Linked DNA regions of Drosophila melanogaster. The protein of the gene in region 1 binds, or shares a complex with, the protein of each later gene. Each region holds a gene or a part of one and is shown in the gene's direction. Other genes may lie near its edges. The genes, in order: CSN8, CSN5 and CSN3.

Region 1 (3,284 bases):
GTAAGTATGTGAATTTCCAATTTTAATCTACTTAGGATTATTGACAATAAGATTTATAACGGAAGCGCGATAACCGTTTGATTTTCACAAAAATATTAATGTTAATCAATAACATTATTGTCCACTTCTCCCCCTCACATATAAATACATGCATGTATTTGAAATTGAAAACGCGATAAGAGGCCATCAGGGTTTTAACATCCTCAGCTATTCACGTTAAAGAAGTACCACTGTAAAATTGTTACCTGTGTGCCCCCTAGTGTGGCACATACATACAAACATTTGTATATATTTATGTACATATGTGATTTGCAGTTTCTTGCTGAAAACCATGCAACAAGTGAATGTTAAAGGAGTGGAACATTCCAATTTCGTTATTTCGATAGGTGTTTTTTAAATTATTGCGCCTAATCTCCATTTCGAAATTTAAAACACCCCCTTAATTGGGAAATAACGTTGTAACACACCAGGAATAAAAACATACGTTCAGCTCTAACAATTAAGGCATAATCGATGATCAATACATACTTAAAAGCATTCCCCAAAGCGCACTTTCAAAATGAATATATCATGTTGTTCCTAAAAGTATTCCGGTATGAAACACCCAGACTGGGCTGCACATATGTATTTAAAAGCATTTTGGGTTTTAGTCCACATCCTTTAAGCTGTTTCACAAAGTTCCATTATTGGAGATGCCGCTGAATTTGAATTAAAGCTAGCCACAGGTAAATAGTATCAAGTTTGAGTTTGGAAATCATTGAAGCAGATTACTGGAAATTATTGAAGTAAATAAACCACACATAATTTGTTTAGTCTATAAAATAGTTCCGATTTCCAGTTTTATTTGTTGGGTTTATTGGTTGTACATTGATGGAAATGTAGGACCCCGCAAGACTTGAAAACAAACTACCAACTAGCGAATCAAGAACTTAGGCAACCAGGGCGGAGGCAGTGCTCGACTCGTATTTCCAGTTGGGGGGCAGGACGCTCTTGGTCTTGTAGTAGCGGGCCAGGCGGTGGATCCTGGACTCGACCAGAATCAGACGGAACTTGCCGTCCTTGTCCTTGCGGTTGCGCTCCAAGTGCTTGCGGATGGCGACGGCCTTCTTGATCATGTGGTACAGATCCTCGGGAATGTCGGGCTTCAGACCCACCGACTTCATGATGCGCAGGATCTTGTTTCCGTTGACGAAACGCACCTGGGCAACTCCGTGCGAGTCACGCAGGATGATGCCTGTAAAAACCGGATTCCGGATTAACATAACCTCAAACAACAACATACTCGGCAGTGCTCACCGATTTTGGAGGGAGTCAGACCCTTCTTGCCCAGCTTCTTAATCTGCTCCTTGACATCATCTGCGTTCAGTTTCAGCCAGGATGGGACAGTGCGTCTGTAGGGGAGGGCTGATTGGGAAATACCCTTGCTGTGAACGAAATACACAAATGTTAGTACGCGTTTATGGCGGCGCCTGTCAAATGCGAATACGTCTGCACCATGTGCTTGCCTTTGCGGTCGATAATTAACACACTAAAACCACCGTAGAAACGCATTAAACACATTCATTCGTTCAACCCGCACGGCAGACACATTTTGCATGCATTCAGCTTGGCACACAGGCATCGAAAACAATGAAAAATTTCATTTTTACCCAGGAGCGTGCATACGACCCATCTTGATAGTCTAGTTTTTGACACCGAAAAGAAGGTGGAGACTTTTGGCACGTTGACAGCTCTACGATGTGGAGACCTGTCAAAGCAGCTATCGATAACGGGATGCTTAGCGATATTTTTTTTAATGCGCTTACAATATGTTGTGATATTCAAAACTTTACTTTAAGTGACTATTACAGGATTTATTAAAGGGAAATAGAAAGCTAATTTGTGTAAAAATAATTCATTTAGCTATCGATATATGTATACTATTGTCAGCTAGACTCTACACAAGCACAGGAGTGCTTTGGGAAGGTTTCATTTCTTGCAGCACGCTAAACGGTCACATTATTGTTTCCCGACCAAGAATTTACCAATAAAATGCATTTAAATAAATATAGTGAAGTAGTGGAGCGGCTTGAGAACGAGGAATTTGAGGTGAGTGATCGTTTAATATATTCACTACAGATGGAATTCTAGAAAACCATACTTTTACAGCAAGTCGAACTGGGAGCTGAAGTCTACCAGCAATTACTTGCTATTTACCTCTATCAAAACAAACTGTAAGTGATTGATATAAAAGAAATACATATTTTAATCTTGTGCTACAGGGCTGATGCCAAGTTGTTGTGGATGAGAGTTCCAGCTAACCTAAGGGATGACAAGGAACTGATCCAGCTGAACCTGCTCAATATTGCCCTGCAGAACAATAACTATGCCGATTTCTTCAAACACATCAAGTATGAGTGGTCGGAAAGAGTAAAGTCACCTGTGGAGGATCTTCTAAGTATGGCTATGCCTAAAAGCTTACTAATTGGATATAAAAACTTATAATGTATCTACTTAGATAAGCAACGCGAAGAGCTGTTCAAACTAATGGGCAGCGCATATATGTCCATTTACCAGCACAATCTACTGGAATTGTCACTAATGTCGGAGGACGAACTGAAACACGCCTGTGCGGCCTTAAATTGGACTGAGGAACTGGACGGTGACCGGGTAATCCTGAAGCCCAAGGTTCAGGAAGCACCGCCAGCTCGTGGAAACGATGACCAGTTGCTTAAGTTGACCGAGTTTGTAACCTTCCTAGAGAATTAAGCCTCAATAAATTTCAATACATTTAATTGGATTTTTGTATACATTTGAAGAAAAGTTATGGTCACACAGCCTGTGTCAATCTAAAAAACACTCGATTAATATCGTTATTAGACATATTTATAAATATTAGCTAAATCACCGAATTGGCGCCATTGGGTTTTGTACGAATTAGCTTTTGGAAGTATACCTAAAAATTAGGAACTAGAAACTAAGGCTACAGAATTATAATTTTCCATGTAATCTATGTAGATATATAATCATATTCTTGGCCTAATTTAATAAGTGTGATTTTAATATTCTTCAGAATTCAGTTAAATAAAATATATTTCAGAAAATCTATCGACGCGCGGAAACGCCGATAGTATCGAATGATAACCGATATGCGTTCCACCTCTACCGTTGTGTCACTTGAAGAAAAAAAATATTAATTTGCACCAACGACGTACGTTTTTCGTTCGAAAAGAACAGCAATCAGCGGATAATTGTATGGATTCTTAGAAAATTTGCAGCGACGAAATATAGTACCTTGCGAAATT
Region 2 (3,648 bases), on another chromosome or scaffold:
CGAACACATGAAAAGGATTTCTCGATCTTCACGCCAGTCTCGCGCGGCGAATAAGAGGTAATAACCACGTCGGAGATGGCGCACAGCCTTAGTAGCTTTTGGTGGCTACCTGGTGGCGTTGCGGTATTCTCCTTATTCTGCGTAGCCTCCAGAAGATTTACTTTGGGGGACTCGTAAGCTGTCTCCTCTGTGCTGCGCTGAATTGATTCATTCAGTGAGACATCCTCCAAGTGAGACTCACTCTGATCACGAGACTCTATAGAAGTATTTCCTTCGTCGTCCGAATTGATGCTGTAGTGAAAACTGAAAAGGTATAAGCAGAGATAAGGTTTTATGAGGACTATTAACAGGCAGACAACACATGCTTGCAGTAGGGACTTTTTCCTATTGTTGTTGCCCAAAGACATTTTAGGGGTTGGCCAGGTAGTCGGTTAGGGGTCTGCCTGCTGTTTTCACTTACTTGTGAACTGTCAGGCGTTTTTCGGCTTGTAGACGATGCGATTGCTAAATCAAATAAAAATGGGGAAATTGTAGGACTTGGAATACTGTACTATCTGGAACAGATGGCGGCTATTACCTTCAATGAAGGGCAGGAGTTTGAGGCCTGTTCGTTGGGCAATAGGCGTTCTGGGGTGCATGGGGCATCCTGCACCTCGGAGGTCTTGGGGAACTCCCACGTGTAGACCTTGTCTCGAATGGTAATCTTGCCACCGTGTAGCAAAGGACGCTTGCCTGCAGCGTGGATGGCCACGTCGTTGAGATGAATGGGGTCTCCGCTGGACTTGTTGTATATGATGACCTAAGGGCGGAAGAAGCAGTATGTTAGGGCGGTTAAGGGGGATTCCTGCCATCCAGACTCACCCTGCCGAAGGCATCGCAGTTTATTTCGCAAATTAGACGCTCCTCCTCTGGCCCCTCCAGGATGAGGTCGCAATTGTAGTAGGAGCCCACCTGGAAGGTGCGCCCTTTGGCTGCCAGAACCACGGTTTTACCATTTTCGTCTTCGTAGCGCAACCTACCGCCATCCAGCGACATTTTCCAAGCGGCGTCGCAAATGCGGCTTGGGTGCGGGGAAAACGAATACCGAAGCGAGCACTTTGAAAAGCCGCAAAGCTATTGGGAATAATACGGTAAATGCACGTACACAAAACACCCACAAACTATTCACTGATTTCTTTCACACTTTTCCACCAGACACTGTTTTTACGGCCCACATCACGAGCTTGCCAAAGTTAATTGTAGCGAAAACTCTGTGCAGGAATTTTTTTGCAATGGACGCGCAAGCCCTGCCAACCTGCTTTTAATGCGCCGGCTTATGCGTTACATTTAAAATTCGGGGTGCAGGAACTGACAACTTACTTGAATTAAAAGTGGTTTATATTATGTGATTATTAATAATGGTTAATCTCAAGAAGTGAAAAGAAAGATACAGATTACAGATACTGCGATGAATCATTTTGTCACTATGAAATAAGGTTTTAAGTTTTTTTTAGTCAAAAATGCTGCAAATTAGAGTGCGTATCGTAAACAGAAAAATTAAATTAAAAAACTTTCCTTGGTAAAAAATTAACGATTAAAAATACATTTTATTTATTAAACAAATAAATTGTTAATATAGATAAATTTTAAATTTTTTAATCAATATTTTAATTTCTTAACTTATAATAATCGATTTATAAAAAATATCGATTGTACCTTCATGAAATTGATTGTACAGATGGTACCGACAAGTTCATCTCTAGAATTGAGCCGGAAAACAAAAACTTGCAACAAAAGACTACAATTTTCGGCATAAGTACAATCACAATGGACTCCGACGCCGCACAAAAGACCTGGGAGCTGGAGAACAACATCCAGACGTTGCCCAGTTGTGACGAGATCTTTCGCTACGACGCCGAACAGCAGCGGCAGATCATCGATGCGAAGCCCTGGGAGAAAGATCCCCACTTCTTTAAGGACATTAAGATCTCGGCTCTGGCGCTCCTAAAGATGGTGATGCACGCTCGCTCTGGCGGTACTTTGGAGGTGATGGGTCTAATGCTTGGCAAGGTAGAGGACAACACAATGGTGAGTTATTGAATGTAAAAAAGGTCCTCAATTTATAAGTCATTCCCGTGCAGATTGTCATGGATGCATTTGCACTGCCAGTGGAGGGCACTGAAACCCGCGTCAATGCCCAGGCACAAGCGTACGAGTACATGACCGCCTACATGGAAGCGGCCAAAGAGGTGGGACGCATGGAACACGCCGTGGGCTGGTATCACAGCCATCCCGGTTACGGTTGCTGGTTGTCCGGCATCGATGTGTCCACCCAGATGCTCAACCAGACATACCAGGAGCCATTCGTGGCCATTGTGGTTGATCCGGTGCGCACTGTTTCCGCTGGCAAGGTGTGTCTGGGTGCATTCCGCACGTATCCAAAAGGTTATAAGCCACCAAACGAGGAGCCCTCGGAGTATCAGACCATCCCGCTGAATAAGATCGAAGACTTTGGAGTCCACTGCAAGCAGTACTATCCCTTGGAAATTAGCTACTTCAAGTCTGCTCTGGACCGCAGGCTCCTCGACTCTCTGTGGAACAAATACTGGGTAAACACACTGGGCAGCTCGGGTCTGCTCACCAACACAGAGTACACCACCGGTCAGATCATGGATCTCTCCGAGAAGCTGGAGCAGAGTGAGAACTTTTTAGGTCGCGGTACATAATGGGTCGATTTAGGAATTGTGCAAATAATTTACCCGCTTTATTATCCACAGGAACCGATGTCAATGAGAAGCGTTCGGAGGATAAGCTGTCCAAGGCCACCCGAGACTGCAGCCGCTCCACCATTGAACTGATACACGGCTTGATGGCTCAGATTGTTAAGGACAAACTTTTCAACAAGGTCGGACTGGGCAAATAGTTCAACACTAAAATTCGCAATGAATTTTAAAATGCATTGTGAATTTTCTTTTCATTTCCCTGGGAAATATTTAAGTAAGTCAAGCTTATCCAAAAGAAAAAGGAAATTATAAAACCGCCTCATAGGCTGATGAAAAAAATCTCAAACGCTTTTACTTTTAAAATGGGTTCTTTTTTGTAGAGAAACTGTTTTCGTTATTTATGTATTAGACGACGGAAGGCATAGTAAAAGTTGAAACTTTTATTCGCCTGGACGAAAAACAGCCGATCCACCATTTATTATATTCTTTCAGATAAACAAACCTTTTTATTGTTAAATAAAAAACGCTTCTGCATTTGACATTTATAGAATATAAAATAATTGGACATGGCGATAAAACATTGTCGAAAATGTGATGCTTGGGTAAATCAATTGGTCTAGAATTATGTAACCCGAGCCGGTCTCAAAGCAACAACTGAAGCCCACCGACTGAAACATTCCCTAATTGCTTCGGGATTTTTAAAGTAAATATTACACAGCCTGGTTAGCTATACAAGCCAAGCCGCGAATGCGTCCCTCTCATCAATCAAATGGTTTCATTATTTTCATCGTTTGGTTTATTTTACAACTTGTATTCCCCGATTGCGTGTTTGCCGATGGGCTCTAGGGTTTCCCTGACAGACCCGTAGTCTACTGTCTGCTCCTGGGAGCGAGAGCTACAAGTGAGATGTCAACGCCCTTCCAGCACGTGGCCCAATCAATTTGAA
Region 3 (4,965 bases), on another chromosome or scaffold:
CCCGTATCCAGAGCTGGTTCATGGGGCAATGAATCCACGCTCTCCAACGGCATAAAACAGTCAGCTGAAATCTGCAAAATAAACTGTAGCTTATACAAATGATAAAAGATGATGAGAAGATCAGGGGACATACCTCCCCGTTCTTGTCGCCCACTTTTCGAGGATACTTGAAGCCAGCGGCACGTGCATCCATAGAATCCTCACAATTTGTGATCAAGCCCTGTCGATGATCCTGTTTGTGGGCTCGTAGTCGTTCTACATTAATTGAGGTGAAGCTGCAGATATCACAGCACAAGTCCCTATAGGCTTCGGCATGATTGAGCCGCATGTGGCGCTTAAGAGCATTGGCTTGGATGCAGAAGTAGTCGCACTGACTACATTTCAGGCTGCTCCTTGTGTCCTGGCTATCATGACGCTGCCGATGCTTGTGCAGGACACTGGGATCGCGAGTGGAGAACTTGCATTCGCCACATTGCAGCGGCTTCTCGCCCGTGTGCTGACGCATGTGAATCTGGAAAGAGTATTAGGTAGCAAGAAGATCGTAAAGTGCTATCTGAACTCACTATTAAGCTAGCCTTGCGAGCCGTCTTTTTGCCACACACATTGCAGATAAATGGCTTGATTTTGTTGTGAACAGTCTTCACGTGTTTAGAGAGCGTTTTACCGTTGACAAACTTGCGATTGCAAATCTCGCAAGTCTTCTCGGCATAGTATTTGTTTTTCTTTGACGATGGTGGCAGAGCAGCAGGTTGCGCGGCCATCTCTGCGGACTGTTCCTTGAGCTTTCTTCTCCGCTGAACGGCAGCCAGTGACCGGAGCACCCTGGGTCGCCACTTTTTGTGAACCTGCATGTGGCGCCACACGAGAGCGGATATGGGCGACTTGTAGTTGCATTCGAAAACGGGACACACTAGTAGGTCCACATCCACCTGGTGGGCTTTCCACAGGTGAGCCGAGCACCGCCGCCAGTTGGGCAGTTCCATGCCACATTCGCAGCAGGAAAAACTGCCACCCTTATGGCAACTACAGTGGAGCTCCATTTTGGTAGCATCTTGGAACTTGAAGGGGCATTCCTTTCCAAAGGAGCACCTTTAACAAACGAGTTTGTCAGAAGCTTATGGTAATAATATGGACATACATACGGCTCTAACATGTTGGCCCTTAGCACCAGCCGAAAGTCCTTGAAAGGCATGGGCTGCAGTTCACTTGCCGGGGGTTCCGAGTTCTCCGATCGCTCCACAACGGTTTGCTTATCCTGGCTGTTGCTGCCGGCTGCAGTTTGTTCCTTAGTTGAAGTCTTCGCAGTTTTGTTTTTGACACTGGGCGTTGAGATGGGCTCATAGCCGTGAAAGTAGACGAGATGTCCTCGAAGATCCTCCTGGAGATCATATTGACGAAGGCAGAGACTGCACACATATACGATTCGCGCAGAATTTTCCATTTTATATTAGTTACATTTCGTATTGGGATATTAACAGCAATTCAATAACAGCAACAAAGTGTTATCGAAAATAGTGAGCACTATCGCGGCTGCACTATCGAAATTTGAAATAGTTGTTTTAGAATAATTTTCTTAAAATTTCATAAACTAAATTATAAACATGGCATAACGCTGATTCTAATCGAAATTTGAACTAGTTGTTTTAGAATAATTTTCTTAAAATTTCATAAATTAAATTATAAACATGGCATAACGCTGATTCTAATGGTAAGTGCGCGAATTAAATTTATATAGTATAGAGTACAAAGAAGAGCATCAAGTGTCTTAATCCTTTAATTTTTGTGTGCCTGTTCTAAATTTTTCCAGCTGAGTGATAGTGTTATAAGTTATAGATGGCGCGTTATTACAGAGCCAGTGTAGAACAACGCTGTCTTTAGGCCACTAATCGATAAGAAATCGACAGCACCGAATATTCATCGTTTTATTCCCAGCTCTAATCCGTCGGCAGTCATTTGTTATTTCGCGAAATTATTTTTCGCAGTTTTGCAAGTTAATAGGCCAAAAAGTAGTCTCGGAGTTACCTAAAATGGGCAGCGCGCTGGAAAACTATGTGAATCAAGTGCGCACACTGAGTGCGTCCGGTAAGTTGGCCGACCGGCGAAGAACGATCCTCAAGAAACCGGGCTCGTTGCCGCCTTTGTTTTGATATTAAAGCGATTCGCAACTAACTTTGCTGGCTGGCTTTTCATCACAGGAAGCTATCGGGAGCTGGCCGAGGAGCTGCCGGAGTCGCTGTCGCTGCTAGCCCGCAACTGGAGCATTCTGGACAACGTGCTGGAGACGCTAGACATGCAGCAGCACTCGCTGGGCGTGCTCTATGTGCTCCTGGCCAAACTGCACAGTGCGTCCACCGCGAATCCGGAGCCGGTACAACTTATCCAGCTGATGCGGGACTTTGTGCAGCGCAACAATAACGAGCAGCTGCGCTATGCGGTGTGCGCCTGTGAGACATGAATCTTCTGTTCCAAAAGTACCCTAAAAGTAATCACATATCCCATTCAGTTTACGAAACATGCCATCTGTTTACCGAGTTTGTGGTGCAAAAGAACCTCAGCATCCTGGGCATACGCATCATTTCGCGCGCCATCGACCAGATTCGACAGTTGGAAACCCAGTTAACTCCCATACACGCCGATCTCTGCCTGCTCAGCCTGAAGGCGAAAAACTTCAGTGTGGTGCTGCCGTATCTGGACGCGGACATCACGGACATCTCCACCGTGGCAGCCGAGTGCAAGACGCAACAGCAGCAGCAGTCCCAGCACGCGGTATTCACGGTTGAAAATGAACTTCTGGGCTACTAGAACTCATAGATTAATTTTTTAGGATGCCAACAACGATGCCAAGTACTTCTTGCTGTACTTCTACTACGGCGGCATGATCTACACGGCGGTGAAGAACTACGAGCGTGCGTTGTACTTCTTCGAAGTCTGCATCACCACTCCGGCAATGGCCATGTCGCACATCATGCTGGAGGCCTACAAAAAATTTCTCATGGTTTCACTCATCGTCGAAGGCAAGGTAAGCTGGACAACAATTTAGTTCCGTTTATATATCAGTCTCTCAATCGGAAAATCTTGTGTCGGTTGCAGATAGCGTATATACCAAAAAACACACAGGTCATTGGTCGTTTTATGAAGCCGATGGCCAATCACTACCACGACCTGGTCAATGTGTACGCGAATTCGTCTAGCGAAGAGCTGCGCATTATCATACTCAAGTACAGTGAAGCATTTACGCGTGATAACAATATGGGACTGGCCAAGCAGGCAAGTATTTAAGGGTCATTCCTGGTTCTTTTCTAATCTGTGGCTTCCGTATGTAAAAAGTAAGACGGTATTCGAAAAAAAAATTAAAAACACCCAATTCTTTTCAAGGTTGAACAGTGCTACAAATTGAACTTTTAATTACTCACCGTTTCAAATAAAAAAAAAATAATTAAATTTATGCGGAAGTATAAACATAATATAAACATAAAATTATTTCCGGTGGAAATTAAATTTAGATTTTTCTGTATTCTAAACAACACAGTTTTTTAATAAGATAACTGGCAGAACCATCTAACTATGAAACTTTAATATTGGGTATCCCCTTAGGTGGCTACCTCCTTGTACAAGCGAAACATCCAGCGGCTCACTAAAACCTTCTTGACCCTTTCCCTGAGCGATGTGGCCAGTCGTGTCCAACTTGCCAGCGCAGTCGAAGCAGAGCGTTACATTCTCAACATGGTAAGAAGTTGTCTTCTTTTTTCGTTTTTTATTTATACCGAGATAATACCTAATTGCAGATAAAATCGGGTGAAATATATGCCAGCATCAATCAAAAGGACGGTATGGTGTTGTTCAAAGACGACCCAGAGAAATACAACTCACCGGAGATGTTCCTCAACGTGCAAAATAATATAACACACGTTCTGGATCAAGTTAGGCAGATCAACAAAATGGAGGAGGAGATCATTTTAAATCCAATGGTAGGTTCTATTGTGAGGTTATTGGTTATATGTTATTTGTTTAAATTCCATTTGGCAGTATGTGAAAAAGGCTCTTGGCAGCCAGGATGATGACCTAACGTCGCAGCACCCAAAGACTTTCTCGGGGTGAGATTTGGAATAAAAACGAACCGAGAATTGTTAGTAATGTTTCCTTTGTTACAGTGATCCCACAGATTGATGATACCACTGCCACAGAACCACCAGCAGCCTGCTGCTATCATTTCTACGCTCATCCAATCCCCAACACCGTTTACCAGAACTTGTCGAAGCCGCGAGGCCCTGGGCCCGAAAGCTGACGTCTCTTGCAGTCCGTACTCATTCAGCTACCACAACAACAAACTGCGCTCTTATTGCAAATTTAAAGATGAACATGCTATTTTAAATAAACTATGTATAAATCTATGACTAAGTCAGGGATCCTTATCACGCATTTGATTGACTCACAAATTATACGTCTCGATACTGCAACGATAAGGCTGTTGTGCCTTTTCTACGCATCGTTCGATCAGGCGACGTTTTACTGTCTGGACGGATCGGTTAAGTGCTTTGTACTTGCCCCCAATCTACCTTAATTGCAGTTCAGTTATCGTTCACGTTATTTTATTTACAATATCAATGTACATGTAACCTAACCTTAGGGCAAAAACAAACAATTAAGTGACTAGAGGACCAGCGCGTTTAATGTAGTTAATTTCTACTCGTAAGCCTAGTTTCGTGTATTTATTTACGTCTAGTCTAGTTGCATAGCTTAACATATCAACAGGCGTCTAGGTTGTGTGGTTCGTGCGTGTGGGTGGTCAGCAGCTGTCGTTCGTCGTACATCGCTCCAATCGCCCGAATTAAAACCGGAGCTCTGACATCGGAGACTGAGACTTGAGATTCTCGCGCCTCTCATAGCCAGCTGCGCTGCACCCATCCTAACCGGTCTTCATGGCGTCTAGCTCCATGATGGAGGTCTTCAGCTGCTGTGCCGGAG

The links.
Region 2: CSN8 (region 1) and CSN5 share a complex: the UniProt entries of both Drosophila melanogaster proteins name them as parts of the CSN complex.
Region 3: CSN8 (region 1) and CSN3 share a complex: the UniProt entries of both Drosophila melanogaster proteins name them as parts of the CSN complex.

What each region holds. Positions count from the first base shown.
Region 1 is NT_033779.5:8,362,892-8,366,175, forward strand, and holds CSN8 (COP9 signalosome subunit 8), read left to right. Parts: upstream 1-1,963; 5' UTR 1,964-2,031; coding exon 2,032-2,088; intron 2,089-2,148; coding exon 2,149-2,213; intron 2,214-2,261; coding exon 2,262-2,437; intron 2,438-2,497; coding exon 2,498-2,748; 3' UTR 2,749-2,772; downstream 2,773-3,284. Other genes in the region: RpS13 (ribosomal protein S13), read right to left, coding at 930-1,234, 1,297-1,424, 1,650-1,672. UniProt on the Drosophila melanogaster protein: Probable component of the COP9 signalosome complex (CSN), a complex involved in various cellular and developmental processes.
Region 2 is NT_033777.3:16,468,373-16,472,020, forward strand, and holds CSN5 (COP9 signalosome subunit 5), read left to right. Parts: upstream 1-1,726; 5' UTR 1,727-1,806; coding exon 1,807-2,067; intron 2,068-2,120; coding exon 2,121-2,697; intron 2,698-2,756; coding exon 2,757-2,902; 3' UTR 2,903-3,034; downstream 3,035-3,648. Other genes in the region: CG42232 (uncharacterized protein), read right to left, coding at 1-303, 461-504, 578-799, 862-1,035. UniProt on the Drosophila melanogaster protein: Probable protease subunit of the COP9 signalosome complex (CSN), a complex involved in various cellular and developmental processes.
Region 3 is NT_037436.4:20,838,527-20,843,491, reverse strand, and holds CSN3 (COP9 signalosome subunit 3), read left to right. Parts: upstream 1-1,915; 5' UTR 1,916-2,027; coding exon 2,028-2,082; intron 2,083-2,195; coding exon 2,196-2,444; intron 2,445-2,503; coding exon 2,504-2,766; intron 2,767-2,824; coding exon 2,825-3,019; intron 3,020-3,090; coding exon 3,091-3,267; intron 3,268-3,594; coding exon 3,595-3,726; intron 3,727-3,785; coding exon 3,786-3,968; intron 3,969-4,026; coding exon 4,027-4,094; intron 4,095-4,151; coding exon 4,152-4,167; 3' UTR 4,168-4,396; downstream 4,397-4,965. Other genes in the region: CG11456 (uncharacterized protein), read right to left, coding at 1-71, 134-511, 564-1,089, 1,143-1,441; CG13255 (uncharacterized protein), read right to left, coding at 4,907-4,965. UniProt on the Drosophila melanogaster protein: Component of the COP9 signalosome complex (CSN), a complex involved in various cellular and developmental processes.